7 linked regions of the Ovis aries genome follow. The protein of the gene in region 1 interacts with the protein of each later gene in a pairwise test. Links are inferred from orthologs where the notes say so. Each region holds a gene or a part of one and is shown in the gene's direction. Other genes may lie near its edges. The genes, in order: DISC1, clusterin, SRGAP3, GRIPAP1, EXOC7, SYBU and PGK1.

Region 1 (4,143 bases):
TAAGGACCCACGCTGCAGTGGTGCAGTTTCCATGGTAATTTCTGATCTACAGAGAAGAGTTGACCAGGCATGCTGGGTCACAGAGTTATTTCTCAGAGTGTCCTCTGGACCTCCTGGGAGTCAGTAAGTGGGTCTTATGTGATAAGTCTATGCTAATATTTCACTCTCCCTAAGCCTTTAGATAATTCCTTTACAGTGTACCAAGGCAGTTCTGGCATTTCCACATCATTTAGTGCTGGTCACCTCTTGCCTCCCATTTCTGTCAACTAGCTAAGCAAACAGCTTGTTCTAATCTCACAAACTGCGGTGAATCCGGATCTCTGCTTGGTGGTGACCGTCATTACATTCAGCCTCATCCAATGGTTCCCCACACTCTTCATATTAACGCTCACATTCATTCTGTCCCACAACACTCCGACTTCTAAGCATATATAGGTGTTTTCACTCACATGGTCCTGATCTTTTGAACGACCTTGACTCTCCTGCAGTTCTAGGACGATCCTTCCCCTTCCTCCAGGGAGCCTTTCCGACCTTTCACTGCCTCTTACCGCCCCTCCTCCCACTTCTACAGTGTTTCATGACAGACTTTGGCTCTTGCATATTCTGCTGTACGTCATGATTTAGTTTTACACGCTCATGTTTATCTTCCCCATAGGAGGCCGGGGAAGCTCCTTAAGGGCGAGAACCATTTCTGGCAGGTGCGTCTTCAGAGATGCTCCAGGAGACTCCTGCATGAATACAAGAGGAGGCGAGTGGGCTGGCTTAGGAACTCAGCACGGATCGCAGTTGTGTCCTGGGCTGGCTGCCCAACGTGGGGAGGCGGATCTGGGGCCAGCCCAGTGCTGCCAGAAGATTCAAACAGTTGGATCCTCATTTCATGTAGAACTACTCGCCCCGCTCTCTTTCCCAGGGTGAGCTGCAGTCTCCCCTCATCCTCCCCCCGCCCCCCGCTCCTAGCGAAAAGAGTCCCTCTCACTCCGTCCAGCTCTTCCATCAACCCTGTGGTCACTTCCCTAATTAGTGTCTGGGAGGAACCCTCCCGTCCCCCAAGGAGGGCCTCCTAGTCTCTCCCTTCCCGAACACCCGTCCTCTCCACCGCACTTCCCCTCTCATTTTCGTCCAACACCGAGGGAGAGTGAAAAATAAGCTCTCCGAGGTCTGTGACCCAGGCTGCGGGCTTGCGCGCCCCGCCCGCCCCAGCCGTCCGCGTGTGTGTGTGTGTGTGTGTGTGTGTGTGTGTGTGTGTGTGCGCGCGCGCGTGCCTGCCCCGAGGCTGGAGAGGAAACAGCCGGTCCAGCCCGGGAGGAGGAAGGAGCCTCCCCTTCCTCGCCAGCCCCCTCCCCACTTCCCGTCCGGCTCGGCCTTTAGCTTCCCGGACGCGGGCCTCGGGTGCACAGAGCCCTCTGGCCGCAGCGGAGATGGAGAAGGCGGAGGCGGATCGGGAGGAGCCGGCGGGGCGCATGCTGGGCGGGGCTCCCCAGGGCGCCCCGGCCGGTGGCGGCAGGGGGCACCGCGCAGGTAGGGGTGCTGTCACGGCCGCCCGGCGGGTCGGGCCGAGGGTTCCTCGGCGAGGGTGAGCTCTGTCCTCTGGAAATCGTTTAGGTCCGGGGTGCGCCTCGGTTAATATCTAGGGCTTCTGCACTCTTGCGGGGTGAGGGAAACTGAGGCAGGGCGCGTGGCGTGCCGAGCTGAAGTCTTTGTCGGGCCTGGGGCTGCCCGCCAGCGCCGAGCCGGGCCAGGTCCTCCCGGAAGACGGTGCTGAGATCCCGGGAGCCGCAGTTCCCGCCCCCGTGGGTCCCGGTGGCCGAGGAAGGCGGCTTGAGCGCGCGGCTGGGTTTCGCTGCGCCCGGGGACTGAGCCAGCCGAGGCTCGGGGCTCCGCGCGCCCTCCCCTGCGCACTCGCCGGACAGGGGACGCCCCGCCGCCTGGTCCGGGAACAGCGTCCTGACACCTCGCAGAGTCTCGGGTTTCAGCACTCGAGGACCTGGAGGGAGGAGGTTGGGGTGGGATGGGGGACGCGGTGCTGGCACCGTCCCAAGGGGCTGCTCTGCGAGCAGTTTCACCTCCCACTTCCTCCGCATCTGTGATGCCCTCGGCTGTCTCGGAGCTGGAGCCGGGGAGCCCCGGTCAAGCTGTCAACGCTGTCAGCGCTCAGCGTTGACACTGAGGCCGTGAAGTGCACAGCTGCTTTGCAGGAATGGCAGGATGTCCCCTGCCATCTCGCTTTTAAAATACACGTGCAAAGGAGTTTGAGACTTTGGGATAAGAATGAGATTTGGAGTGAGGGAGTTATGTGTCCTTGCTGGACTGGAAGGAGGCGGGTAACTTTGACAGCTTCTTGAGTCTTCCCCGGTGGCTCAGATGGTAAAGCGTCTGCCTGCAATGCGGGAGACCCGGGTTCGATCCCTGGGTTGGGAAGATCTCCTGGAGAGGGAAACGGCACCCCACTCCAGTACTCTTGCCTGGAGAATTCCACGGTCGGAGGAGCCTGGTCGCAAAGAGTCGGGCACGACTGAGCGATTTCACTTTCACTTTAGCAGCGCTGAACCTCGGATTTCATCACATACACAAAAGAACGCTGGTAACCTCCCCCCTCCCCATCTCGTCTGGATATCTGCTGTGTGTGAAAGCACTTTGCAAAATGTATGGTCAGTTGGGCAGGCAAATGCGATTTGGGTAATACCAGAGCCTTAAGAGCTGGAGGTTGAGACAGTTAGCTTGCATCTCAACCCTGCACTTAACTGTGTCTTAGTTGCCCCATTTATGAAATGGGACAATGACAGTGACCTCATAGAGTCGCTGTGGGTTTGACTGTGGCCATGGATGTGAACACCCAACCTGGTGCTGAGATACGTAGTAAGCTCTAAATAAGAGCCTCAGATGCTCTTTTCACTAAGCAAAACCCAGTTAATTTGGAGTGGTGAAAAAAAAAAAAAAACACAAACAAACCACCACCAGTTTGATTTGATTATAGTATGAATGTGTGTGTGTGTGTGTGTGTGTGTGTGTGTGTGTGTGTGTTCAGTCGTGTCTGACTCTTTGCAACCCCATGGATTCTAGCCCACCAGGCTCCTCTGTCCATGGGTTTTCCAGGCAAAAATACTGGAGTTGGTTGCCATTTTCTTCTTCAGGGGATCTTCCTGACTCAGGGATCGAACCCTTGTCTCCTGCATCTGCAAACAGATTGTTTACCACTGTGCCATCTGGAAAAACCACATCTCTTGTAAAGTATGAATCAGCTCAGTTCAGTTCAGTTGTTCAGTCGTGTCCAGCTCTTGGCAACCCCATGGACTGCAGCACGCCTGGATTCCCTGTCCATCACCAACTCCCAGAGCTTCCTGAAACTCATGTCCATCGAGTCGGTGATGCCATCCAATCTCATCCTCTGTCGTCCCCTTCTCCTCCCACTTTCAATCTTTCCCAGCATCAAGGTCTTTTCCATTGTGTCAGTTCTTCACATCAGGTGGCCAAAGGATTGAAGTTTCAGCTTCAGCATCAGTCCTTCCAATGAATATTCAGGACTGATTTCCTTTAGGATGGACTGGTTGGATCTCCTTGCAGTTCAAGGGACGCTCAAGAGTCTTCTCCAACACCACAGTTCAAAAGCATCAGTTCTTCAGCACTCAGTTTTCTTTATGGTCCAACTCTCACCTCCATACATGACTACTGGAAAAACCATAGCTTTGATAAGATGGACCTTTGTTGGCAAAGTAATCGCTGCTTTTTAATATGCTGTCTAGGTTGGTCATAGCTTTTCTCCCACGGAGCAAGTGGCTTTTAATTTCATGGTTGTAGTCACCATCTGCAGTGATTTTGGAGCCCCCCAAAATAAAGTCTGACACTGTTTCCATTGTTTCCCACCTATTTGCCATGAAGAGATGGGACCAGATGCCATGATCTTAGTTTTCTGAATGTTGAGTTTTAAGACAACTTTTTCACTTTCCTCTTTTACTTTCATGAAGAGGCTCTTTAGTTCTTTGCTTTCTGCCATAAGAGTGGTGTCATCTGCATATCTGAGGTTATTGATGTTTCTTCCAGCAATCTTGATTCCAGCTTGTGCTTCCTCCAGCCCAGCATTTCTCATGATGTACTCTGCATAGAAGTTAAATAAGTAGGGTGACAATATACAGCCTTGACGTACTC
Region 2 (3,500 bases), on another chromosome or scaffold:
TTGACAAAAGGGGAAGCATCCCTGACTATCCCCCATCTCCTGCCACAGCTCGAGGAGTTCCTAAACCAGAGCTCCCCCTTCTACTTCTGGATCAACGGTGACCGCATCGATTCCCTGATGGAGAATGATCGGGAGCAGAGCCATGTGATGGATGTCATGGAGGACAGCTTCACCCGGGCGTCCAGCATCATGGACGAGCTCTTCCAGGACCGGTTCTTCCCCCGGAGGCCCCAGGACACTCAATACTACTCCCCCTTCAGCTCGTTCCCAAGGGGGTCACTCTTCTTCAATCCCAAGTCCCGCTTTGCCCGGAACGTGATGCCTTTCCCCTTGTTGGAACCCCTCAACTTCCACGATGTGTTTCAGCCCTTCTACGACATGATCCGCCAGGCCCAGCAGGCCATGGACGCCCACCTGCAGAGGACTCCCTACCACTTCCCCGTGACGGAATTTACAGGTGAGAAGGAGGGGGATGAAAACTCAGTTCTTTGAGATGCTTAACCTAGTCACACAGGCTGTGATGCTGACGAGACGTACGAATAGCTAAGGAGCTAAGGAAGTGTGGAGGGAGGGAGCCTTAGATGCTCAGATCTGTGCCCAGGACTTGGCCTGTATCGTCTGAATCCCCCAAAGAGCAACCTGGGGAGGGGGCTACCATCCCTGTTTGACAGGGAGTGTAGGAACATGCCCAAAGGTTCACAGACATCCCTGTTGGCTCAGCTGTAAAAAATCGGCCTGCAATGCAGGAGATGTAGGTTTGATCCCTGGTTTGGGAAATCCCCCGGGATGGTCAAATCTAGCCCTACAGGACTTGTAACTCTGGTATTCTTTTGAATTTTCCAGGCTCCTTCCAACAACTGGTGGGCATGACACTATTTCCTCTAGGGTAGGGATCCCCAGCCTCTGGGATTTAATGCCTGCTGATCTGAGGTGGAGCTGGTGTAATAGTAATAGGCATAAAATGCACGATAAATGTAATGCTCCTGAATCATCCTGAAACCATCCCCCACCCACCCCCTCCCTGGTCCATGGGAAAATTGTCTTCCACAAAACTGACCCCTTGAACCAAAAAGGTTGTGGACCACTGCCCTTGAGGGCTAGACCCCTTTGTCTTGGGAACTCAGGTGCTTTATATGGATGCCATGCATATATTGGCAATGAATTATATAATCAGCTCACTGTACAGTTAAGAAAGCTGTTTGTGGCTATAACCTTAGGGTCTGGTAGAGAATGGGCACATAGCGAGTATCTTTTGAATGAATGAACTCTAACATGGACACGAAAAGCCGAAACTTTTAGATGTGATTTCTTTCATTGAACCAATAGACTCTGGTTGGCCAACCCCATCGCCTAAATGCTACGGCTGGGCCAGCACTGGGTTCTGGCTTGTAATGGATTGGAAGTGCGGGAGGGTGCTGACTTAAACAGGTTTCCCTGGTGGCTCAGTGTTGAAGAACTCACCTGCCAATGCAGGAGACGTGGGCTCAACCCCTGAGTTGGGAAGATTCCTTGGAAAAAGAAGTGTCAACCTGCTCCAGTATTCTTGCTTGGAGAAGCCCATGGACTGAGGACCCTGGCAGGCTACAGCCCATGGGGTCGCAAAAGAATCTGACACAGCTTAGCAGCTAAACAACAAATTGACCTGAACAAGCATTTCCTGCATATCCATAAGGTTGAGAGGGGTGGGGTGGTGGTGAAGTGAAGTGAAGTCGCTCAGTCGTGTCCGACTCTTTGTGACCCTATGGACTGTAGCCCACCAGGCTTCTCCATCCATGGGATTCTCCAGGCAAGAATACTGGAGTGGGTTGCCATTTCCTTCTCCAGGGGATCTTCCCAACCCAGGCCCTGTGTTATAAGGAGGTTCCAAGGTAAATCTTACTCCTGCCTTCAAGGAGCTTGCTGCCTGGCCAGGGGGAGAGAAACAAGACAAGACAGAATGCAGAGCAAAACGGGTTATGATACCAAAGAGAAGTACACACAGCTAAGGGAGTGTGGAGGTGGGAGAGGTGTCAGCCGGTGAAGGAGATGAGAGGGTGGCCATGCCCAGCTCAGGGGGGCCCGGGAGCCACCTCCTGGTCCCACTGCAGGGAGTCTCGCTGCTGGTCCGAGCCTGGAAGACCAGCGGTCTTCAGGCAGACAGCCAGATGCTAACCTGCTCTGCCCGCAGAATCATCTCAAAGGGCCTGACAGTGGTGTGGAAGGGCCCAGAGAGATGGGGGCAGCCCATGTTGCTCTGTGTGACTTGTCCCCGTGTGTTCCCAGAAAACAACGACCGCACTGTGTGTAAGGAGATCCGCCACAACTCCACGGGATGCCTGCGGATGAAGGACCAGTGTGAGAAGTGCCAGGAGATCCTGGAAGTGGGTGAGTCAGGGGCCCCCTGGTCTCCTGTGTCTTCAGGTCCCCAGCACCTCACTGGGGTTGCCTTGAGGGGCTCAGGTGGGTGGGAGTTTAATGCCAGCTCTGCTGCCTTCCAGCTGTGGCTTTTAGGTGAGGGGGACTGTCCTTTGCTCGGCTCTGCCTGGATCCCCATCTGGGGTTGAGGGTTAAGATGCAGAGTTGTCCCTGAGGTCAGGAGACAGAATACTTATCACATCAGCTCATGGTTAACAGGCTGACTGTGGGAGCGGTGGCTGTGCTTTCTACAAAGCTGTCATCCTGTGACTTCCTCCAGTTAGTCTATTCCCAGGGGTCAAACCTAGTATACGTCTTCTTTTTTGGCTGCAGACGAAAATTTAGAAAGTATGTTGTTGTTGTTCTGTTGTTTTGTCGCTAAGTTGTTTCTGACTCTTTGCAACCCATGGACTGTAGCCCACCAGGCTCCTCTGACCATGGGATTTCCAAGGCAAGAATACTGGAGTGGGTTGCCATTTCCTACTTCAAGGGATCTTCCCAACCCAGGGATTGAACTCAAGTCTCCTGTATGGACAGGCAGATTCTTTACCACTGAGACATCGAGGAAGTGCTTCAACAGCACGGAGACTATTAAACTCTTGCCGTGTGTTTGTTACTAAATACCCTTCTTCTCAACACTTACAAACATTTACTCTTCTCCCTAGAATAACGGGTGGCTGCTTTTCTTACAGAGGAGGAGACTGAGTTAGAGGTTTGATGACCTGCCAAGATTACTGGATGCCCCTCCTGAGGGGATGTTTGGGAGGTGTTCCCCACCAGGGCTGCTGTGTTCTCTGCCCTGAACATATGGTCTCTCCTTGGGGTACCTTCGCTTTCTGGCCACCTTCCCTGTGGTTGGTTGGTCCCTGAGTTAGAGGAAATAGCTCTTTTCCGCTGTTGCTTTCTGTTTTACCAAGGGGACTGAATTCTTTCTATTTGGAGGTCAACAGCTATAAAAGCAGTTGACACACAAAACTTCCTGGCTCACAAAAGTCTATGCCTGGAAGGAAGGAGTTAATTATTTCCCTGTACTGAGTGAATCGATCCCGGTTGGTGTGTCGGGGTTGTGGGGGGGAGGTGGTAATGATGTTTGCTTTGCATTTAAT
Region 3 (3,500 bases), on another chromosome or scaffold:
CAAAGGGTAGAAACAGTCAACTGATGCATAAAATATGGTAAATCCCTATGATGGAATCTTCAGCCGTGAAGATATACCATGGATGAACCTGGAAAACAAGCGTGCTAAGTGAAAGAAACCAGTTACAAAAGACCACATGTTATATGACTCTGTTTATTTGAAATGTCCAGAGTAGACAAGTGCATATAGACAGAAAGCAGATTATCGGGTGTCAGGAGCTGGGGCAGAAAAGAATGGAGAGTGACTGCTAATGTACAGGGTTTCCTTTGGGGTGATGAAAATACTCTAAATTTAGATAGTGGTGCTGGCTGTATTGATACAATATTCTGGGAATATACTTTGATACAATATGTCTGAGAATACATTAGAAATAGACTTTCAAAAGTAAGATAACCAGGCAGGGCACTACAGAGCTACAGCGTAAGGGGACCTATAGAGGGGTAGGGACAGCATTGGTTAGAGAGGTCTGGAAGCTTAAGTTTGAGTTCAGGATTGTATGCTAATCAATCGTTTGGCTCTTGGACAACCTACTTCTCTTCAGTGTTCATTTCCTCACCTATAAAATGGATGAATTAAACTAGGATATCTTCAAGATCCTTTCCAGGTGTAAACTTTTATGAGTCCATGAAGGGCTGAAAATGGTCTCAGGGTCATAGTAGCCCCCTGGAAATGGGCCAAGAATATCAAAATTCTCTGTGGAGGCTGGGTGTGTGGCTGGTTCAGGGTATGACTACCAAAAGCTTATTGCTAGACATTTCAAGAATAAGTGGACCCCGAATAAAGGTCAGAAGAGATGTCTGAGGAGAGTTAAAAGGCTGACAATGGAGTGTCTCTGCTAAACAGGAGAACGTGATCTGCAGCAATGAAGGTTGAGAGTGCCTAGGTAGGAAGCAGCCTTGTTTCAAAGGAGGCTCTCTTCTTCCTCGGCAGTGGGACTCATCTGTCTGAAGGGGGCGAAGAGACAGCTCTCCAACCCAAGGACTCATTCTTGCTTCCTGCCCAGGAGGACCCAGGACAGAAGCAGCTTCCCAGGGAGGCGGTCCAGCTCAGCCTGGGTCAAGACTGCACGTCTGGCCGCCACACCCCACCTCACCTCACCACTCACATCCAGCCAGTGCCAATCACTTCATGCTGCCCATATGCAGGGACTGGTCTGGGTGCTGTAGACCCAGCCATGAACAGGGACCATTAAGCCCCTGACTTCACAGGGTACACTGGAAATCAGCGAGTTAGTAAAGAGGTAAAAAAATATAATTTAGGGTGGTGAAAAGTACTCATGAAAAAAACTGAGCAACCAAAATGTCCTTCAGTAGTTGAGTGGCTAAGTAACTGTGGTACATCCAGACCATGGAATGTTATTCAGCACTAGAAAGAAATGAGCTATCAAGTCATGAAAAGACATAGAGGAACCTTAAATGCATGTGACAGAAACCAATCTGAAAAGGCTACATACTATATGATTCCAACTATATGACATTCTAAGAAAGGCAGAACTATGGAGACATTAAAAAAAAAAAAAATCAGTGCTTACAACCATTACGTGGGAGAGCGGGATGAACGGGTGGTGCACAGAGGATTTTTCCAGCTGGGAAACTGCTCTGATACTGTAAGGATGGAAACATTTGTTCAAATCCACAGAATATACACCAAGACTGAACCCTTGGGTAAACTGTAGACTCTGGGTGATAGCAATGTGTCAGTATAGGTCCACCAATTATAACAAACGTACCACCTGGTAGAGGGTGGTGAGGGTTGGGGGGCAGTGTGTCAGGGTCAGGAGGCATGCCCAGAGTCTTTTTACCTTCCTTTCAGTTTTGCTGTGAAGCTAAAACTGCTCTAAAAAAGTCTTTTAAAATTTAAAATAATCACTAAAAATTGAATAAAGATTAAATAAATGGGAAAAATAGGGCAGAATAGAGCATGGGAAGGGGCAGGCAAGATGCTGGGGACACTGATGCATGTGACCGTGGCTAAGGACCCGAATAACGTTAAGAAGCAGGCCATGCAGGGACCTGGAAGGATGGCCTGCCATGTGGAGGGAAGGAGTCTGAGTCTAGAGGCGGGAGTGACCTGGCCTCTAAAGGCTGGACAGAGGAGCACCTCATAAAGGATGGGAACATGGACGAAGAGCCGGGTCGGGAGGGTTTCACAGGCCATCATCGGGGTTTGAGCAGCCTCTGGGGGATGTTGAGTAGGGGGCCCTGGAGGTGTGAGTTACACTCCGCTCTGGCAAACCCAGGAAAAGCCTGCAGCTTACCCAGCAGTGCTGTTGTCGGCTGCACATGTGTGGTATAAGGTGGAGCTCTCTGAGTACGGGGTCTAGATCCTACTCACCCAGCACGTGGAGTAAGGCATCCCAGGGCCATATGAGGGGCTGACTGCAGATACTGGCCGTGTAGAAACTCCCAAATCCCTCCCATCAGTGGCTTTGCCCTCACATCCATGTTTCCCTTCCTCCAGAGGCAGGCAAAATATTCTGAGAACAAGCTGAAGTGCACCAAGGCCCGGAACGACTACTTGCTGAATCTGGCAGCCACCAATGCGGCTATAAGCAAATACTACATCCACGACGTCTCTGACCTCATCGACGTGAGCTCCTGGGGAGCCTGCGCTGATGACCTGCCTGGCGAGAGTCATCAGCTGTGGGAGGGCTGGCCCTTGTTCTTTGCTGACGTGTGGGGTGGATGGTGGCCCTGGGAGCCCTGATGGGGGAGACAAGCAGGGAGCATTTGAGAGAGGAGTATCACCCCGTGGCTTCTACCTCCCCGAGTGGGAGTGGGCCTCTGGCGGCCCTTGCACATTTGGGCTGGGCAATTGTAGTTCAGTGTGCACTTTCCAGGCACACCTTCCTCTACACCAGGTCCTTTACTGGTTTTGGGGATAGAGGGGTGATTGTACACAGTTCATGCCCTGGGGACTTCCCACGATTGTAAAGACGGTTATATGTTCAGCACCCCTGGGGTTCAGTCCTCCAGACATAGGGAAGAAAATAATGAATGAGACAGAATTACGCAGATCAGCTTTACTTGGGGATGTTATGTTGGGAGAAATCAGGCAGTTGAAGTAAAAGGAAAATGGAACACTGGCTCCTGAGTGCCAGCTGTGCAGAACGCACTGGTGGGACAACCAGATTTGGGCAGGAATGCTGTGAGCACCAGGTTTGGGGCAGCTCCTATGTCAGCTGTGATGGAGCTGGAGTTGCTTGGTGTGTCTTCATGAAGACAGGTATCCGGCCCAGCAGGTGCTTGGTCAGGCTCTGTGAGGGCATCCTTTTCCTCTGGCCCCGGTGTACCAGCGGGCACTGCTCTTCCCTCAGATGCAAAGGGATGCATTAGTGTCATTATCACCACCTCCAAGAGAGGGAGCTGCCTGGCCCTGTCTTCAAATACCCACCATTCCTGCTTCCAAGGCAGGAACCCTCCTTTTTCCTCCCTTTCAGCTTGCTTTTTCACACAGCCCTTTCATTTGTTTATTTACCAAGTTTGTACTGAGTACCTGCT
Region 4 (3,500 bases), on another chromosome or scaffold:
CAAGCTGGAGCCAGTTGTTTGCCTGGGTTTGAATCCTGGCTAGGCTGCTTTCTATTATAGTTGTGTGGCCTTGGACAAGTTATTTACTTCTCTGTGGCCGGTTCTCAACATCCATAAAAAAATGATAACAATAATACTTGCTGTCTAGGTACTATGGGAGGGTTCTATAAAATGAGGTAATATATATAAAGTCCCAGGTGGCGCTAACGGTAAAAAACCTGCCTGCCAATGCAGGAGACGAAAAAGATGTGGGTTTGATCCCTGAGTCAGGAAGAGCCCCTGGAGGAGGAAATGGCAACCCACTCCAGTATTCTTGCCTGGAGAATCCCATGGACAGAGTAGCCTGGTGGGCTAGAGTCCATGGGGTTGCAAAGAGTTGGACACGACTGAAGCGACTTAGCATGCACAGCATTCCTGGCATTCAGTAGTGCTGTTATGTTTTATTAAATAAGATGTAAATGCAGATGTTGGTCCTCGATGTGACACTCCTGCATCCAGTGTTCCCTGTGGGAGTGTCTTCTCTGCACACCCAGGGGCCCCCTGCAGTCCCTTACCCTCCTCACTGGGCGTGATGTTCTCTGGGGGGCTGTGTTCAGACCTGGGACTTGTCTTGTAGGAATCTCTGCAGCAGCAGCAACAGGAACAAGAGGAAGCCCTCAGGCAGTGTCAGGAGCAGCACGCCAGCGAGCTGAAGGTGCCTATTGTATGACGGCATTTCTCTCTGGTGGGAGGACTGAGGTTTCCCAGGCCTTGGCCTGAGCTGCCTTCTGCTTTGCAGAGCAAGGAGGAGGAACTACAGGGTGTGCAGGAGCAGCTCCGACAGGCCCAGGAGGAGCGGGACTGTCACCTGAAGACCATCAACAGCCTGAAGCAGGTCCCTGGTCCCTCCTGAGCCCTTGAAACACCCTGGGGATCAGCATGCAGTGGTGGGGCAGGGAGGGAGCACACTACAGGCGGCCATGCTGGCACCCGCAGCCACGCTGTCTCTCTCCCACAGGAAGTGAAGGACACCGTGGATGGGCAGCGAATCCTGGAAAAGAAGGGCAGTGCTGCGGTATGACAGCACATGCTTGGGAGGCTTTCACGCGTGGCCCACTCCTGCCCTGTGGTGCCCCCACCTGTGGGCCCACCAGGCCTCAGCCCCCCTCTTTCTGCCTTTCCCCACAGCTCAAGGACCTCAAACGGCAGCTGCACCTAGAGCGGAAACGGGCAGATAAGCTGCAGGAGCGGCTGCAAGACATTCTCACGAACAGCAAGAGCCGCTCAGGTGAAGGGCCCAGAGCACAGGGGAGGCTGAGGTGTGGGGAGGCATAGCCTGGGCCTGAAGGCTGGGGCCGCTTCCTGTACTTCATTCTGTAGAGCACTCCTGTGTGTTCTGTCCGTCTTGAACTTTCTTTTACCCTTTCTCTGCATCTCTCCCTCCTCTGTTTCTCTCTCTCTGCATTCTCTCTCTGGGCTCTCCCTCCTTTTTGCTGTGTCTCTTCTGTTTCTATCTCTGCCTCCTCATTTCATCTCTATCTGCCTTTCTCTCCCAGCTTTCCCTCTCTAGTTCTCTCTTTTTCTCATCCTGGTCTTTTCTTCTCTCTGTTCCTTTGTCTCTCTCCCTCCTCAGTCTCTCTCATCTGTCTTTGTCTCTGTGTCCTCACGACCCCTCATACACCCCCACACCTCACCTAGTATCTCTCAGTCTCTTGTGTTCATTCTCTCATTCTGTAAATATGGACTGAGCCCTCACACTCACATCTGGGGTCCCTGATAGGACCCCCCCGCCCCAAGTCTCAGTCCTCCAGAAGTTTCCTGTTGAGCTGGGGAGACAGACTTACAATCAGGTAGCAGAACTACCATGTGATTCTTATGCAGTTAAAGTCTACATTATTTCTGCCACTTAAGGCAGAAGATAAAACAGAAAAATTTGAGTTGCCTCAGACTTTTTTTTACTTTAACAAAGAAATGGCCTAAAACTGTGTTTAAATAAATAAGTTGCAGTGATGGCTCTGGTGTAGTTCCTGTATCACAAGTGAGAGAAAACTTGCTGCCTGTCCCTCCCCAGCCACCCTGCTCTTGCTGGAGATCCTTGGCTTGTTGTGTCAGCCCCTCTCCCTGACACTCAGAAGCAGCTGCAGGAACAGAGGCACATGCTTAGTGGCTGTGTTTCAAATGATCTGTCAAAAACGGGTGTGCTGCTGCTACTGCTAAATCGCATCAGTCGTGTCCGACTCTGTGCGACCCCATAGACGGCAGCACACCAGGCTCCCCTGTCCCTGGGATTCTCCAGGCAAGGACACTGGAGTGGGTTGCCATTTCCTTCTCCAATGCATGAAAATGAAAGATGAAAGTGGAGTCGCTCAGTCGTGTCCGACTCTTAGTGACCCCATGGACTGCAGCATACCAGGCTCCTCGTCCATGGGATTTTCCAGGCAAGAGTACTGGAGTGAGTTGCCATTGCCTTCTCCAAAATGGGTGTATTTCTCACCAAATCACTGTCTCACTGAGGGACTCAGTCTCCTGAAGTTACCTCTCATTATAAGGCAGGACTTTTATTTCTTTCTGTTGCAAGTTGGTGTACAAATCAATAAACAGATTCAAACTGTGTGCCATACGTTCTATTTGTCCATTAGGAAAGTCAGATTTGGGTGTATGCCTATGAGTCTATCGCCATCTTTTCTCTCTGTGTCACTACTCTGACTTGTGTCCTAAACCAGCATCTCTGTTAGCCTCTATCATCTGCTCTGGCTTGCTGTCTGTCTGGGGTCTTTTCTCTGCACGTGCAGGTGCCCCTGTGCCCTCTCCAGCTATGGTGTATCTTGAGTCTGAGTGCATACGCCAGTTTATGCCCATTTGTGCCTGCATCGCCTCTTTCTCCCCATCTTCACCTTTGTTTCACTTCTGGTGTGTGTTTGCCTAGAGAAACAGCTCTTTTTTCTGTTTCTGCCTTTCCCTATCCTACTGTCTGCATCATGCCTGAGTGTCTCTTTGCCTCTCTCCATCTCTGTCAAATCTATTTCTGCCTCTTCCTGCCCTGGGACCCTGGGGGATTGGGGCTCAGATTTCTCTTCCCTCTCTGCCCAGGGCTCGAGGAGTTGGTTCTCTCAGAGATGAACTCACCAAGCCGGACCCAGACTGGGGACAGCAGTAGCGTCTCCTCCTTCAGCTACCGCGAGATCTTGCGGGAGAAGGAGAGCTCAACTGTTCCAGCAAGGGTAAGGGGCAGGGAAGAACCTATAGCCCCAGCTTCTACCCAGATTCTGGGCCCAGCACACATATATTCTTGTCAAGTTTTCCTCAAGCTCACAAACTTGGATACAGATTGCTAAATGGAGGATGAACAAATTATTTTCTCTGACCCTCTGTTTCATCATCTCTGGGCTAATTCTACCTTTCCTGGTGCCATAAAATACGTGGCTCATAGTAGGTGCATTATCCATGTAGGAGATCCTTTCTTCCCCCAATTCATAGTTATCATTTATTATTGTCTATGTCAGCTTCCTTGCCAGACCCTT
Region 5 (4,014 bases), on another chromosome or scaffold:
CCCAAACCTTCTCACCCACCAGCATATGCTTCACTGTCTGTCTTCCTGTATCTGGATGCCTCAACAAAGCTGTGCAGCCACTTACCACCCCAGGGTGAGACCAGAGGCAGGGTGAGCCTCTGCAATGGAGGAGGGAGTAATACTAGGTTTTGCAGGAGCTGTGTCTGTGGTGAATCTAGAACATTCATCCCTGCAGGAACCCTGACCCAGGGCCACCTCCCCACCCCTGGCTGGCCCCTAATTAGAGGAGACTCTGGGCAAAGGAGCTGAGATATTTTGGCCTCTTGCAGGAGGGTCCCTACCAGCCCTCCAGGCCTTTCTGATGTCCTCAGCGGCCCTATGAGAAACGCTCCCCTTGTGTCTGAGCACCAGCAGATAGGCCTCAGCGTCTCCATCACTGAGAACACCACCTGGGTTCTAACCCCTCGGACAGGTCTGGACTTTTTCAGCCTTCCCCTTGCACTGTTTCCAGACCTGGGCAAATACACCGCTGAAGCCACTCGCTACCCGCGGCCTGGCCCTCACCCCCAGCAAATAAAACCATGTCTCTCTTTCCAAAACAGACACCTTAGTGTGGCGCTTGGAGCTTCTCTCTGGTCCCATCCCAGTCCCCGGGATGAGTGCTCCCAGAACCCCTCCTACCCCAGGAATTTGGCCGAGCCCCTCACAAGTCGGGATTGTAGTTATGGATGCCTCTGGGGCCATGGGCGACCATTCTTTGCCCGGGCCAGGGCTTGCACACAGGGCGCATTCCGTGAGAGCTTTTAGGGCCGAAGGGGGACACGACTACATAGGTCCCTCGGTCATTAAATGAGCACACATTAGGCGCCTGCTGTGTGACAAGCTCTGTGCTGTGCTTTGCGGGGGAACACCTCATCTGTGCCTGGATCCAGACAAACGAATTTGTTATTAATCTTTGTGAAAAGAGTCAGCCTTCCCACGAAGACGGCAAGTGAGCTGTAACTGTTGTGCCAGCTGCGGGACAAAACACCCCTAGAGAACCTTCTCTGATGAGTGCGGCAACACGCATCAAGGTGAAACCCGGTGCACCTCCCCGCCACACCCAAGATGGCCACCTGCCGGGTTCCCCTGTCCCTGAGTTCCACGCAGGCGCACTTCCGCCTGCCACTCCCAACATGGCGGCAAACGGGCCCCCGGGAGGGGGCCACGGGCGGAAGTGGGTGTGACAGGGACGGGAGCCGAGAGGGCTCTCTGAAGCCAGACGCTGGGCTGTGGGAGCCGCTCGGCTGTGGGAGCCGCTCGCAGGGAGGGTCGAAGTCATGATTCCCCCGCAGGAGGCGTCCGCCCGGCGGCGGGAGATCGAGGACAAGCTGAAGCAGGTGGGGCTGGGGAGGCGGGGGAGGAGGTGAGGGAAGGGGCCGAGATCCGGGCCGGGCGTCCACTCAGGGAGGGGAGGTAGCAGGAGTGGAGGGGGCCGGGTACCAGGCAATAGGGTCCGGGCGAGGCTGTGGAGCCGGGATGCGGTGGTCTCTGGCTTCTGCTGATGTCCTCCCCTCCCCCTCGCAGGAGGAGGAGACGCTGTCCTTCATCCGAGACAGCCTGGAGAAGAGCGACCAGCTCACCAAGAACATGGTGAGTAACCCCTCGCTGGGAGGGCCTCCAGACGCTGCGACCCAGGGGTTTGGTACCTAAAGCCTGAGGCTTCTGGCCTGGGTGGTGATGGGTGGTAACGTCTGGGTTTCTCTAGCAACAGTGTTACACTTCTTACACCCTTGCCCGCCACTTCGCTGAGGATGCGGCAGCCTCCCCACATTTCTGCTTTCTGCCTAAGTTCTCCATTCTTCTTTCTCTCCTTCCGCAAACATTTAGTGAGACTGACTTAAGTGGGCTGGGTACTGGCCATGGGTCACCCTTAGTTTAAGTGCGGGTATCACGGGTGGGGTTACCACTTCTGAGATTACTGAGGGCAGGAGACTCAGCCGTCACTCTGGAGAGCTGGAGGGGTAAAATGAATCAGAAATCAGATAGATGCGGGATCTAGCCCTTGCCCCTCCACTTATGTGTGTGTGGCTCCTGACAGGTAACGCTGAGCCTCAGTTACCTCCTCTGCTAAAATAGACGATGCCAATCTCCATTGTAGCTGTGAAGGTCATAGAAGCTAATGCATGGAAATGCCTCTTGCACAGTATCTGGTATACAATAGGTACTCAATAAACATGAACTTCCTTTCTTATTCTGAAAAGAGCCTGGAAAACCCAAACTGAGTAGTAGATAGAAAGGTGGGTATGTATTCAGTAACACAGTCATCAGGTGCTAGTCCTTACTTAATGAGATTTAGCCTTAGAGAGAGGGGGTTTGAAGGTACCAGGAATGCTGGTATAGAGTACCTTGAGGCTACTCTATATGAAAGTAGTTCCTGTTCAGTCTAGGAAAGCATCAGGGAGAACATAAGTTGAGATCTGGCTTTAAAGGGTGGAAGGGAAGCCATCCTGAGGTGATTTTCTGAGAAGTTAATGTAATGGTTGCCTCGCCTTCAAATCAAACTTCAGCCAATTTATTTGGGCCACCTCCGATCTGCCAGGCATGTGGTAGATCCTGGGGATACAGTGGGGAATAAGTATACCCTGTCCCTCTCCTCTTGGAGCCTACTGTCTAGAAAACCAGAGAAAAGGCAGCAAATGCGAAGACCTGGCAAGGGGCAGAAGCAGTGCTGGGACAACCCTGAGGCCTGAGAGCACGGGGCTTCCCCCTGTAGGTGTCTATCCTGTCATCCTTTGAAAGTCGCCTTATGAAGCTGGAGAACTCCATCATCCCCGTGCACAAGCAGACGGAGAACCTGCAGCGGCTGCAGGAGAATGTCGAGAAGACCCTGTCCTGTCTGGACCATGTCATCAGCTACTACCACGTGGCCAGTGACACTGAGAAGATCATCAGAGAGGGGTGAGCTCGGACCAGAGGGTCACATTCCTAACGCCTCTTGGACCAGTAGGCTTTGGAAGCGGGGTAGAATATATATGAGCCTAGAGTCCCCTGTGTTAATTCTGTTCACCATTTCCAAATACCATTCCCTTAGTCCTTCCTATTCATCTTCCATCTGCCCGGGCTAATATGGTTCTTCTCCTTTCCAGGCCTACAGGTAGGCTAGAGGAGTATCTGGGAAGCATGGCCAAGATTCAGAAGGCTGTGGAATATTTCCAGGACAATAGCCCAGACAGCCCAGAGCTCAACAAAGTGGTAAGGGGCCAGCAGAGTGATGTGAGAGGTTGGGAGACACCAATCCCTGTCCGGGTCTCATGAGACACTGAACCAGCTAAAAGATAATATAGTCGAATGAAGAGAAGTATATAGTACCATGCACATACTACAGACATTGAAATGTCTGTTTCAGAAATTACAGGTCTACATTTTGATTGCATTTTAATAATTTAGCTAAATTATAAGTTGTTGTTTAGTTGCTGAGTTGTGTCTGACTCTTTTGTGACCCCATGGACTGTAGTCTGCCAGGCTCCTCCGTCCATGGGATTTCCCAAGCAAGAATACTGGAGTGGGTTGCCATTTCCTTCTCCAGGGGATCTTCTCAACCCAGAGATCTCCTGCATCGGCAGGCAGGTTCTTTACCACTGAGCCAGCAGAGAACACACATTACAAGTTACCTATGAAATACAGATTTAACATTTGATTTTTATAAATGCATGGGTATTTTTTATTGTACTGAAAAATAAATAATATAAAAATTACCATTTCTGACCATCTTTAAGGGAACAGTTCAGTGACATTCACATTGTGTAACCATTGCCACCTGGCTACACAGAAAACTGCAGGATCAGTACACTGTCACACTAGTAACCCAGAGGGGACACACCACTATAACCACTATACTGCAACCCATCAGTGGGCAGCCTAGACTCAGAGATTGGAATGTCAGGGGTTGGAGAACTTTGTTCTTGAGGATCTCTACCAAGTTCAGGTCACAGAGTGAAGAGCTCTGTGCTAGAACTTGGGCGTAGGGGTGGGCTAGAGAAGAAGACAAAAAAATATACAACTCCAGGTTTA
Region 6 (3,500 bases), on another chromosome or scaffold:
TTTTTAATCCTCCTAGCTACACTTGCCTGGAAAATCCCATGGACGGAGCAGCCTGGTAGGCTGCAGTCGATGGGGTGGCCAAGAGTCGGATACGACTGAGCGACTTCACTTTCACTTTTCCCTTTCATGCACTGGAGAAGGAAATGGCAACCCACTCCGGTGTTCTTGCCTGGAGAATCCCAGGGACAGGGGAGCCTGGTGGGCTGCCGTCTACGGGGTCGCACAGAGTCGGACACGACTGAAGCGACTCAGCAGCAGCAGCAGCAGCTACACTTGACGAGGCTGTTATTATTATTATCCCTCAAATTTAACGAGCATAAACTTTTAGTTCAGAGAGGTCAAGAACTTTAGGCATATAGGCACTTCGCTAGAAGCAAGAGGCGTGCCGCCCTGAACTGGTTTTCTGAGTTCGAGTGAGGCGTCGCCAGAGCCGCGCGCTGGGCACTGACTCCCGGCGGGCGGGCGGCGGTGGTTCGGCGCTGAAGAGGGGGCAGCCCGGCTTCCCAAGCCAGCCGTTCCCTCCCTGCGGCAGCGCCGCGCCGCCAACGCCAGGCCCTTCTGATGCAAACCGCCTGAGGAGGAGCGCAGCCTCCGAGATCCTGGAACCCAGATGCTGTGTTAGGCCTGCAGCACTGGCTTGCCAGGGGTCCGGGTGGAGGGCGGCCCACCCCCTTTCTCCGGCGAGGTAATTGTGCGGGAAGCTGGACGCGGACAGAAAACCTGGAGGGCAGGGAGGGGCCGCCAGGCAAAACTTTCCCTTAGTACAGGTTGGCTCTCCGTGATGTCACAGCTCTTCTGGGTTCTTCTCTCCCACGTGCACCCCTTTCGAACCCCATACCAGGTGCCCAAAGGGGGGTGTTGGGCTTCTCCGGGCTGAAGATGCTCCGAGCCTCCGTCCGCGACCCCTCTTAGGGTCGGGCTCGGCAGAGCGGGAGAGGCGCGCTGATCTGGGAGGAGAGCCCGCGGCCAAGTCGGGCAGGCGGGGCGCGCCGAGGAGCCTTGTCGGGGGCCGGCAGGTGAGGGAGGTCCGGGAGAGGGCGGCGCAACAGCAGCCGCGGTGGCACCACGTGTCCGGCCGGGGCGGGGCGGCGGGGCGCGCCCTCGGAGCCCAGCGCCAGCGGCGGCGGCGGCGCGTCGGCCCCGCAGCAGCGGCCGCCCGCGGCGCGCTCCGGCTCAGCGTAGTCTCCTCGCCCCCGGTGCCCGCAGGTGCCACCTCCTGGACGGCGGCAGCGGCGGCGCGAGGAGCCGGCAGGCGGCAGCGCGATGGGACCCCTTCGGGAGACCAAGGTAAGGAGGGCACGTCCGGAGGGCTCGATGGCTGTGTCAGCGAGCGCCGGAGGGAGAGGAGAGGTGGGCACTGCGGGGAGGGACGCGGATCAGGTGAGAGCTGGAGGGATGACCTTTAGGATTGCGGTGGACGGGGACGCAGAGGTGGCGGGCGCAATAAGAAAGCAGGGGACTGTCGCCCAGGTGATGAGATCCGAGGCCCGGGAGATGGGGAGGTAGTACGGTGTTTGGAGGGTTGACACTGAGGATTAAAAAAATGGACTCCGAAGGGTTAATCCCATTCCCTGAAATTGGAGATTGGGGATCTAGCTCTCAATCGTCGTCCTCCGTGTGTGATGTGACTAAAAAGGATTTGATATACTGGTGACTGAGAAATAAGAACTCCAGCATTGGTTCTGGGTCCGCCTGGTGCCCAGCGGAGCGGCTGGCGTGTGATACCTGCCGGGTGACAGCACAGATTCCAGGCTGGGTGCGGCTCTCGCCCCTGGATAGGGCGGGTGCCTGAGCGACCTCGGGAGTTACCCGCGGCTGGGACTTTCCCTTCAATTCCTGCACTGTGAGGGCCTCTCAGAGGTGTTTACTTTGGCAGCGACCCTTCCTGGTAAGCCGCGTGGAAATGAGCAGGAGGTCATGTTTCCACAGTGTTCGTTACCTAATCCAAAGCCCTTTTTCAGTTGCAGAGGTTGGAGGGAGCGGTGGGTTTTTTTCTGCAGAGAGCCCGTCCTGGGAGTCCATTTTAATAGGGAAGGGTGGGGGTGACCCCGACCGACCAGCTCTTGACTGCAGGCTCCCGTTTGCTTCTAGGTGATGTGCAGCAGTCTTGGCTGAGCATCTCTGCCTCTTTTAGCTTCAGTTTCCTCATCTGTAAATAGGGACGCAAATTAGTGTGCTCTCCGTGGCCTCTGTTGTCGGAAAGATTAAACAAAATGATGGCTGGCAAAGCACTTTAAAAATGGGAAAATATTACTGAAATAATGCTTTGGGGCATTTTCAAAGCCCTCTGCACTTGATGCTGTGTTTTGAAGGAGAGAGAGAGGGAGAAAAAATGTCTTCATTTGAGTGTCCTGTAAAGAAACAAAAGCTAAACATGATGAGAAAGGCGGAGCCATCTTACCCGGTATTGAATTTTTGTTTGCTTTTCTGTTGGCAACAAGCCTTGTGTACCAGGATATTAATGAATAATTAAAATCCTGGCCGGAAGAGGGGGTGCATTTGAAAGATAAGGCGCATGATCTATCTAGGGAAACTGTTTCAGGTATAGGGGTCTGCTTTGTCAGGAGACAGGAAAACAGAAGTCAGATTGTCACAGCTAATTCAGGGAAAGCAAAATGGAAGTCTGGAGGAAATCAAGTAATAATCAGAGTGTGCTGCGAGTTATAAAGAGCCTTTGAGAGAGCTGAAAGCTTGAATGTGCTAGGAAAAGCCAGAATGGCAAGGTGAGTTAGACATGAGAGAAAGGAATAGCCTTCCTGCTAGCAGCTGAATGTGTGTGTGTGTGTGTGTGTGTGTATACACATCCATGCTGTAGCGTGTGATCTTCAATAAATTAGAAGGCTTAGCTTAGTAGGAGAGTTTTGGAGCTCATTTTAGATACTGAAACAAGGACTGCTCTGTGAAGATTTAATATTCAGAAATGTGGCTCCGCAGACACTGAGCCCAGAAGGAGCAGACTGGAGTTGAGAGGGGGCAACAAGTGTCCTTTTGTTTTCTCTCTGATGTCCGATTTGGAGAAGGAGCTGAGAGTACAGCATCATGAGAAGGAGATTGCCCGAAGCCGGATTCCCCGTTTGATTCTTCGGCCCCATCTGCCTCAGCAACAGCACAAGGTGTCCCCAGCCTCTGAGTCTCCTTTCTCGGAGGAAGAGAGCAGAGAGTTCAACCCCAGCAGCTCTGGGCGCTCAGCGAGGACCGTGAGCAGCAACAGCTTCTGCTCAGGTACGATACCCACGGGAACGAAGGCAGGAAGTGAGTACGCTGCGGGTGCGTTGTGAGTGGACCTGGAACGGGCCCCTTAGAGTCTCGGAGCAGATGTCTGTTATTAGGATGAATAGTACGAGGCTGCATCTTTTTGACTCTTTTAACCTAGGGATACAGCAGTTTCGAATGGTTCAACCCGATGGAATTTCATACCTGTTTTTATGTTATTCTAGGTGATAATTTTCTATGTGAAATCTTAACTTCTTTTTTCTATGACTGTAAAATATATTTCTTGG
Region 7 (3,500 bases), on another chromosome or scaffold:
CAGGCCCTAGTGTATTATGGAAGAATAATCTGTAGTTTTAGAAGGGGAATTAACTTAAAGCTTGAGCTTGGTACTTTTAAGACAGTAAATTAAATTTGATATCATTGGGGTTTTCTTATAAAAGAATCATGTGACCAGAAAAAGTACTTTTCGTAAGTCAAGTGGAAAGGGACTATTTGGAACATTTGATTGAGTTAGGTAGATGATGGTCATGATGATATTACCTTGGGTTTAAGGCACTTTTCTTAAGTGTAAAGGATCTTTCTTTGAATTTCTTAATATAAGGAATGACACGTACCTTCATTTTTTTTTTTTAAACCTAGGTCTCAGAAAGGTAATTACTTGACTAAGGTTAGAAGTAGTAGTACTGTTGCTGGGCTTTATATATAGCTCAGTCCATCAATAAGCAAACTTTATGTAAAGGGTCAGACAACAAATATTTTAGGCTTTGTGGGTCAGACAGTCAGTCACAACCTTACATGGTCTCTGTTGGAACTGTTCAACTCTGCCATTGTTGTACAAAAGCAGCCATAGGGGAAAAAAACCAAAAAAAATTTAAAAGGCAACCATAGGTACCTACAAAGTAGATTACTGTGACCTGACAACCAGGATTTAAATATTAAATGATAGAGCTGGCTCTTTTGAGGATGATTTCGAATTTGCCTATTCATAGAAAGGAAGCTGGGCTTCTCACGTGGCTCAGTGGTAAAGAACCCACCTGCCAGTGCAGGAACCTTGGGTTCAATCCCTGTGTGGGGAAGACCCCCCTGGAGGAGGGCATGGCAACCTACTCCAGTATTCTTGCCTGGGAAATCCTGTGAACAGAGGTGCTGGTGGGCTACAGTCGATAGGGTCACAAAGAATTGGATACAACTGGGCATGCATGCTACTGGAGATCAGTGGAGAAATAACTCCAGAAATAACTGCCTTTCTGAGACCTAGGTTTTTTTTTTTTTTAAATATGAAGGTACCTGTCATTCCTTATCTTAAGAAATAAGAAGGGGATCAGAAATCACCCTTTATACTTTCTACTCTTAATGTCTTTAGTATCTTGGGGAACAAGATGCTCTGAGGCAAGCATCTCAATCTCCTGTTACGCTTCTGACATTTCTTAAGGTCATCAGAGTGCCTGCTTTTAAGCAGTTTCTTTTCTTAGCACTGCAGGCTCAGGTCTTGCCATATCTTGCCTTTGGCATGGTCTTGCTACAGTAGTAGAAGTTAAATGCTGACCTAAAATTTGGTGCCCTTTTAGACTGAAACTCAAGCTGTTCAACTCTTGGGCTTAGAAATGGCAGGAAGCAAGTTGAGGCAAAACATTATATACAGTAAGTGATGAACCAACTGTGCTAGTCTATGTCTTTGTGGGTAGTTTACTTTACATTTAGTGTTCAGTGGCTTTTCATGCTTGAAATTTTTGGAACCAGCCATAAGTTCAAAGTGAATAAAAAACGAAGTGAGGCATGAAATTTTTCCTTTACGCAGGATACCTGCATTATCTTTTAGGAGCATTCTCTTCCTTCTGGTTCCTGGCAGATAAAAAATGAGAAATAGGTTCTGATTATTATTAATTTTTATAATACCTTTTTCATAGATAGCTTTTAATTTGTGTCATTTTCCCATGAACAGTTCTTAAATAGAGAAGTTATCTTCCCTTTTTAATAGATAGGAAAGGATAGAGAAAAACTTGACAAAGGTTACACAGAAAATTAGTGTCAGACGTGGGCCTAGAACCCAGGTCTCCTGCCATTTGGGCAGTGTTTTCATGACTACACATCTTGCAGTCACCGTTGGCAGATAATATTCCATTCTAAAGAGATTATGGGGGCTCTACACTTTAGTTTTAGCATTAGTGCCCCTGTATTCTTTGGGCCACTAGAGGAAAGCCCATTCTTTGTGACAGCCTCCTTCACTTCAGTGTATAGGAGAATGAGAGTGGACAGTGACTAAACATCTGCTTTGACACTTCTCTGCCATAATCCCCCTCATCTGGCTTTCTATGCATCTTTGCTTTGTTTCCTACTGGAGACTCATTGTTTATTCTGCTGTCCTGCTTTCTTTCCCCTATGAAAAGGGTAGTATCCCTGGATAGTGAGCTGACATTCAAAGCCATATGTTTGACATCAACTTTCTATCCCTCTATCTTTTTTGTAGAAGTGTATTATTTTCTCAGATGCCTAACTTCCAGGGAAAGCTATATGAATTACCTCCTTTTTCTGAGGTGCTGTTCTGTTGTCAGGTTTCCATCTGCCTTCTCTGTCTCAGCTTGTCCTTGTTGCTTTCATGAGAAATATGTATGAGAGCTTTTTTCCGTTTGCAGAAAGGTCTTGGCAGCTAGCAGCTTGACTCAAGTATCCTAAATTTTACAAGGAGAATGTGTTAAAATGAAGCAGTGAGTCAAAGAGAGAGAAGGGTAATTTGTATTTTGTCCTAGGAGCTGGAGAGAGACCAGTGGGATGTGATTAGAGGTTAAGCTGTGATTCAGGAATCTTAGGCTTGCAATTTGAGGGAAGGCAAAGGAGAGCAAAAACATACAGAAATGAGCAAAAGGTCTGGAATATTTGGAAGAAAGACCAGATCCTGTTGCTAGTTTTGAAAATTGCTATCCTGCCAACTCAGGGTCTTTAGATATGTTGAAGAGGACTCTTGGTATGAAATGCTTTTACAGTTTCTTTGGAATCATCAATGTCTCCCTGTTTTGTTTTTCTCTTCAGGTTAAAGCTGAGCCAACTAAAATAGAAGCCTTCCGAGCTTCACTTTCCAAGCTAGGGGATGTTTATGTCAATGATGCTTTTGGCACTGCTCACCGAGCCCACAGGTACTAAAAGTTTTTTGTTCATTGTCAAACTGAGAGCGTTATTTCTCTGTTTACTTAAACAGCCAAAGGTCTGGAATGGTTTTGGAAATTTCTGTGTTGTATTGTGATCTTTTTGGATTCTATCTCTAATTGGAGCTACAAATAAAACTGTGGTTCTTGTTGGGTATCCCTGATATAAAGATGAAATAAAAGTAAAAAAATGTTTAGGATTGTGGAACCTTTTGTTGAGCTTTAGGAAGATGTTGTTCTGTCTTACTTCGGATATTTCATGGAGAGCTCTCTCCCTTTGTGATTGCTGTGGGAGCAGAGTCTTAGGCTGTCGGAAGCAAACTGAGGAATCCTTCCCTGTTGTCATCGCCCAGCTGATAATTTATTGTGGTTAAACCCTTGGTCTGAAGACTATTAATTGGGTATCTTAAATTCTACTTAAGGTAATTGCTTTTCACTTGTTCTCCTTTATCCTGCATTATTAGCCAGAAACCTTATCTTGTACTTAGGTGTTTTGTTGTAGTTTGGGGATGAAAACCATGGTGTCCTGGAGTCTCAAAAGTGAAAGTATTTTAGTGATAAGGAGAAGGCCTCTAGAATTGGGAGGATTGCTAAGGATTGACTAAAATTTGAATGTCTCTGTTCCTTTCTAGCTCCATGGTAGGAGTAAATCTGCCAAAGAAGGCTGGAGGTTTTT

What was found.
Region 2: the proteins of DISC1 (region 1) and clusterin interact in binary tests that used the Homo sapiens proteins (3 or more experiments, as listed by UniProt). The link is inferred for Ovis aries from reciprocal best matches to the Homo sapiens genes DISC1 and CLU.
Region 3: the proteins of DISC1 (region 1) and SRGAP3 interact in a two-hybrid assay, tested with the Homo sapiens proteins (2 studies listed by BioGRID and IntAct). The link is inferred for Ovis aries from reciprocal best matches to the Homo sapiens genes DISC1 and SRGAP3.
Region 4: the proteins of DISC1 (region 1) and GRIPAP1 interact in binary tests that used the Homo sapiens proteins (3 or more experiments, as listed by UniProt). The link is inferred for Ovis aries from reciprocal best matches to the Homo sapiens genes DISC1 and GRIPAP1.
Region 5: the proteins of DISC1 (region 1) and EXOC7 interact in a two-hybrid assay, tested with the Homo sapiens proteins (2 studies listed by BioGRID and IntAct). The link is inferred for Ovis aries from reciprocal best matches to the Homo sapiens genes DISC1 and EXOC7.
Region 6: the proteins of DISC1 (region 1) and SYBU interact in a two-hybrid assay, tested with the Homo sapiens proteins (2 studies listed by BioGRID and IntAct). The link is inferred for Ovis aries from reciprocal best matches to the Homo sapiens genes DISC1 and SYBU.
Region 7: the proteins of DISC1 (region 1) and PGK1 interact in a two-hybrid assay, tested with the Homo sapiens proteins (2 studies listed by BioGRID and IntAct). The link is inferred for Ovis aries from reciprocal best matches to the Homo sapiens genes DISC1 and PGK1.

Annotation. Positions count from the first base shown.
Region 1 is NC_056078.1:3,813,906-3,818,048, forward strand, and holds the start of DISC1 (disrupted in schizophrenia 1 protein), read left to right. Parts: upstream 1-1,343; 5' UTR 1,344-1,418; coding exon 1,419-1,518; intron 1,519-4,143. UniProt on the Homo sapiens protein: Involved in the regulation of multiple aspects of embryonic and adult neurogenesis. Required for neural progenitor proliferation in the ventrical/subventrical zone during embryonic brain development and in the adult dentate gyrus of the hippocampus.
Region 2 is NC_056055.1:102,020,630-102,024,129, reverse strand, and holds part of clusterin, read left to right. Parts: intron 1-48; coding exon 49-457; intron 458-2,262; coding exon 2,263-2,364; intron 2,365-3,500.
Region 3 is NC_056072.1:17,480,469-17,483,968, forward strand, and holds part of SRGAP3 (SLIT-ROBO Rho GTPase-activating protein 3), read left to right. Parts: intron 1-2,460; coding exon 2,461-2,589; intron 2,590-3,500. UniProt on the Homo sapiens protein: GTPase-activating protein for RAC1 and perhaps Cdc42, but not for RhoA small GTPase. May attenuate RAC1 signaling in neurons.
Region 4 is NC_056080.1:56,106,882-56,110,381, forward strand, and holds part of GRIPAP1 (GRIP1-associated protein 1), read left to right. Parts: intron 1-616; coding exon 617-694; intron 695-778; coding exon 779-874; intron 875-997; coding exon 998-1,054; intron 1,055-1,167; coding exon 1,168-1,267; intron 1,268-3,069; coding exon 3,070-3,200; intron 3,201-3,500. UniProt on the Homo sapiens protein: Regulates the endosomal recycling back to the neuronal plasma membrane, possibly by connecting early and late recycling endosomal domains and promoting segregation of recycling endosomes from early endosomal membranes.
Region 5 is NC_056064.1:54,905,202-54,909,215, forward strand, and holds the start of EXOC7 (exocyst complex component 7), read left to right. Parts: upstream 1-1,214; 5' UTR 1,215-1,280; coding exon 1,281-1,340; intron 1,341-1,527; coding exon 1,528-1,593; intron 1,594-2,716; coding exon 2,717-2,901; intron 2,902-3,089; coding exon 3,090-3,195; intron 3,196-4,014. UniProt on the Homo sapiens protein: Component of the exocyst complex involved in the docking of exocytic vesicles with fusion sites on the plasma membrane.
Region 6 is NC_056062.1:67,666,375-67,669,874, forward strand, and holds part of SYBU (syntabulin), read left to right. Parts: intron 1-1,125; exon of another isoform or gene 1,126-1,206; 5' UTR 1,207-1,263; coding exon 1,264-1,287; intron 1,288-1,672; exon of another isoform or gene 1,673-1,888; intron 1,889-2,934; exon of another isoform or gene 2,935-3,002; coding exon of another isoform or gene 3,003-3,017; coding exon 3,018-3,222; intron 3,223-3,500. UniProt on the Homo sapiens protein: Part of a kinesin motor-adapter complex that is critical for the anterograde axonal transport of active zone components and contributes to activity-dependent presynaptic assembly during neuronal development.
Region 7 is NC_056080.1:69,217,830-69,221,329, forward strand, and holds part of PGK1 (phosphoglycerate kinase 1), read left to right. Parts: intron 1-2,711; coding exon 2,712-2,815; intron 2,816-3,456; coding exon 3,457-3,500. UniProt on the Homo sapiens protein: Catalyzes one of the two ATP producing reactions in the glycolytic pathway via the reversible conversion of 1,3-diphosphoglycerate to 3-phosphoglycerate.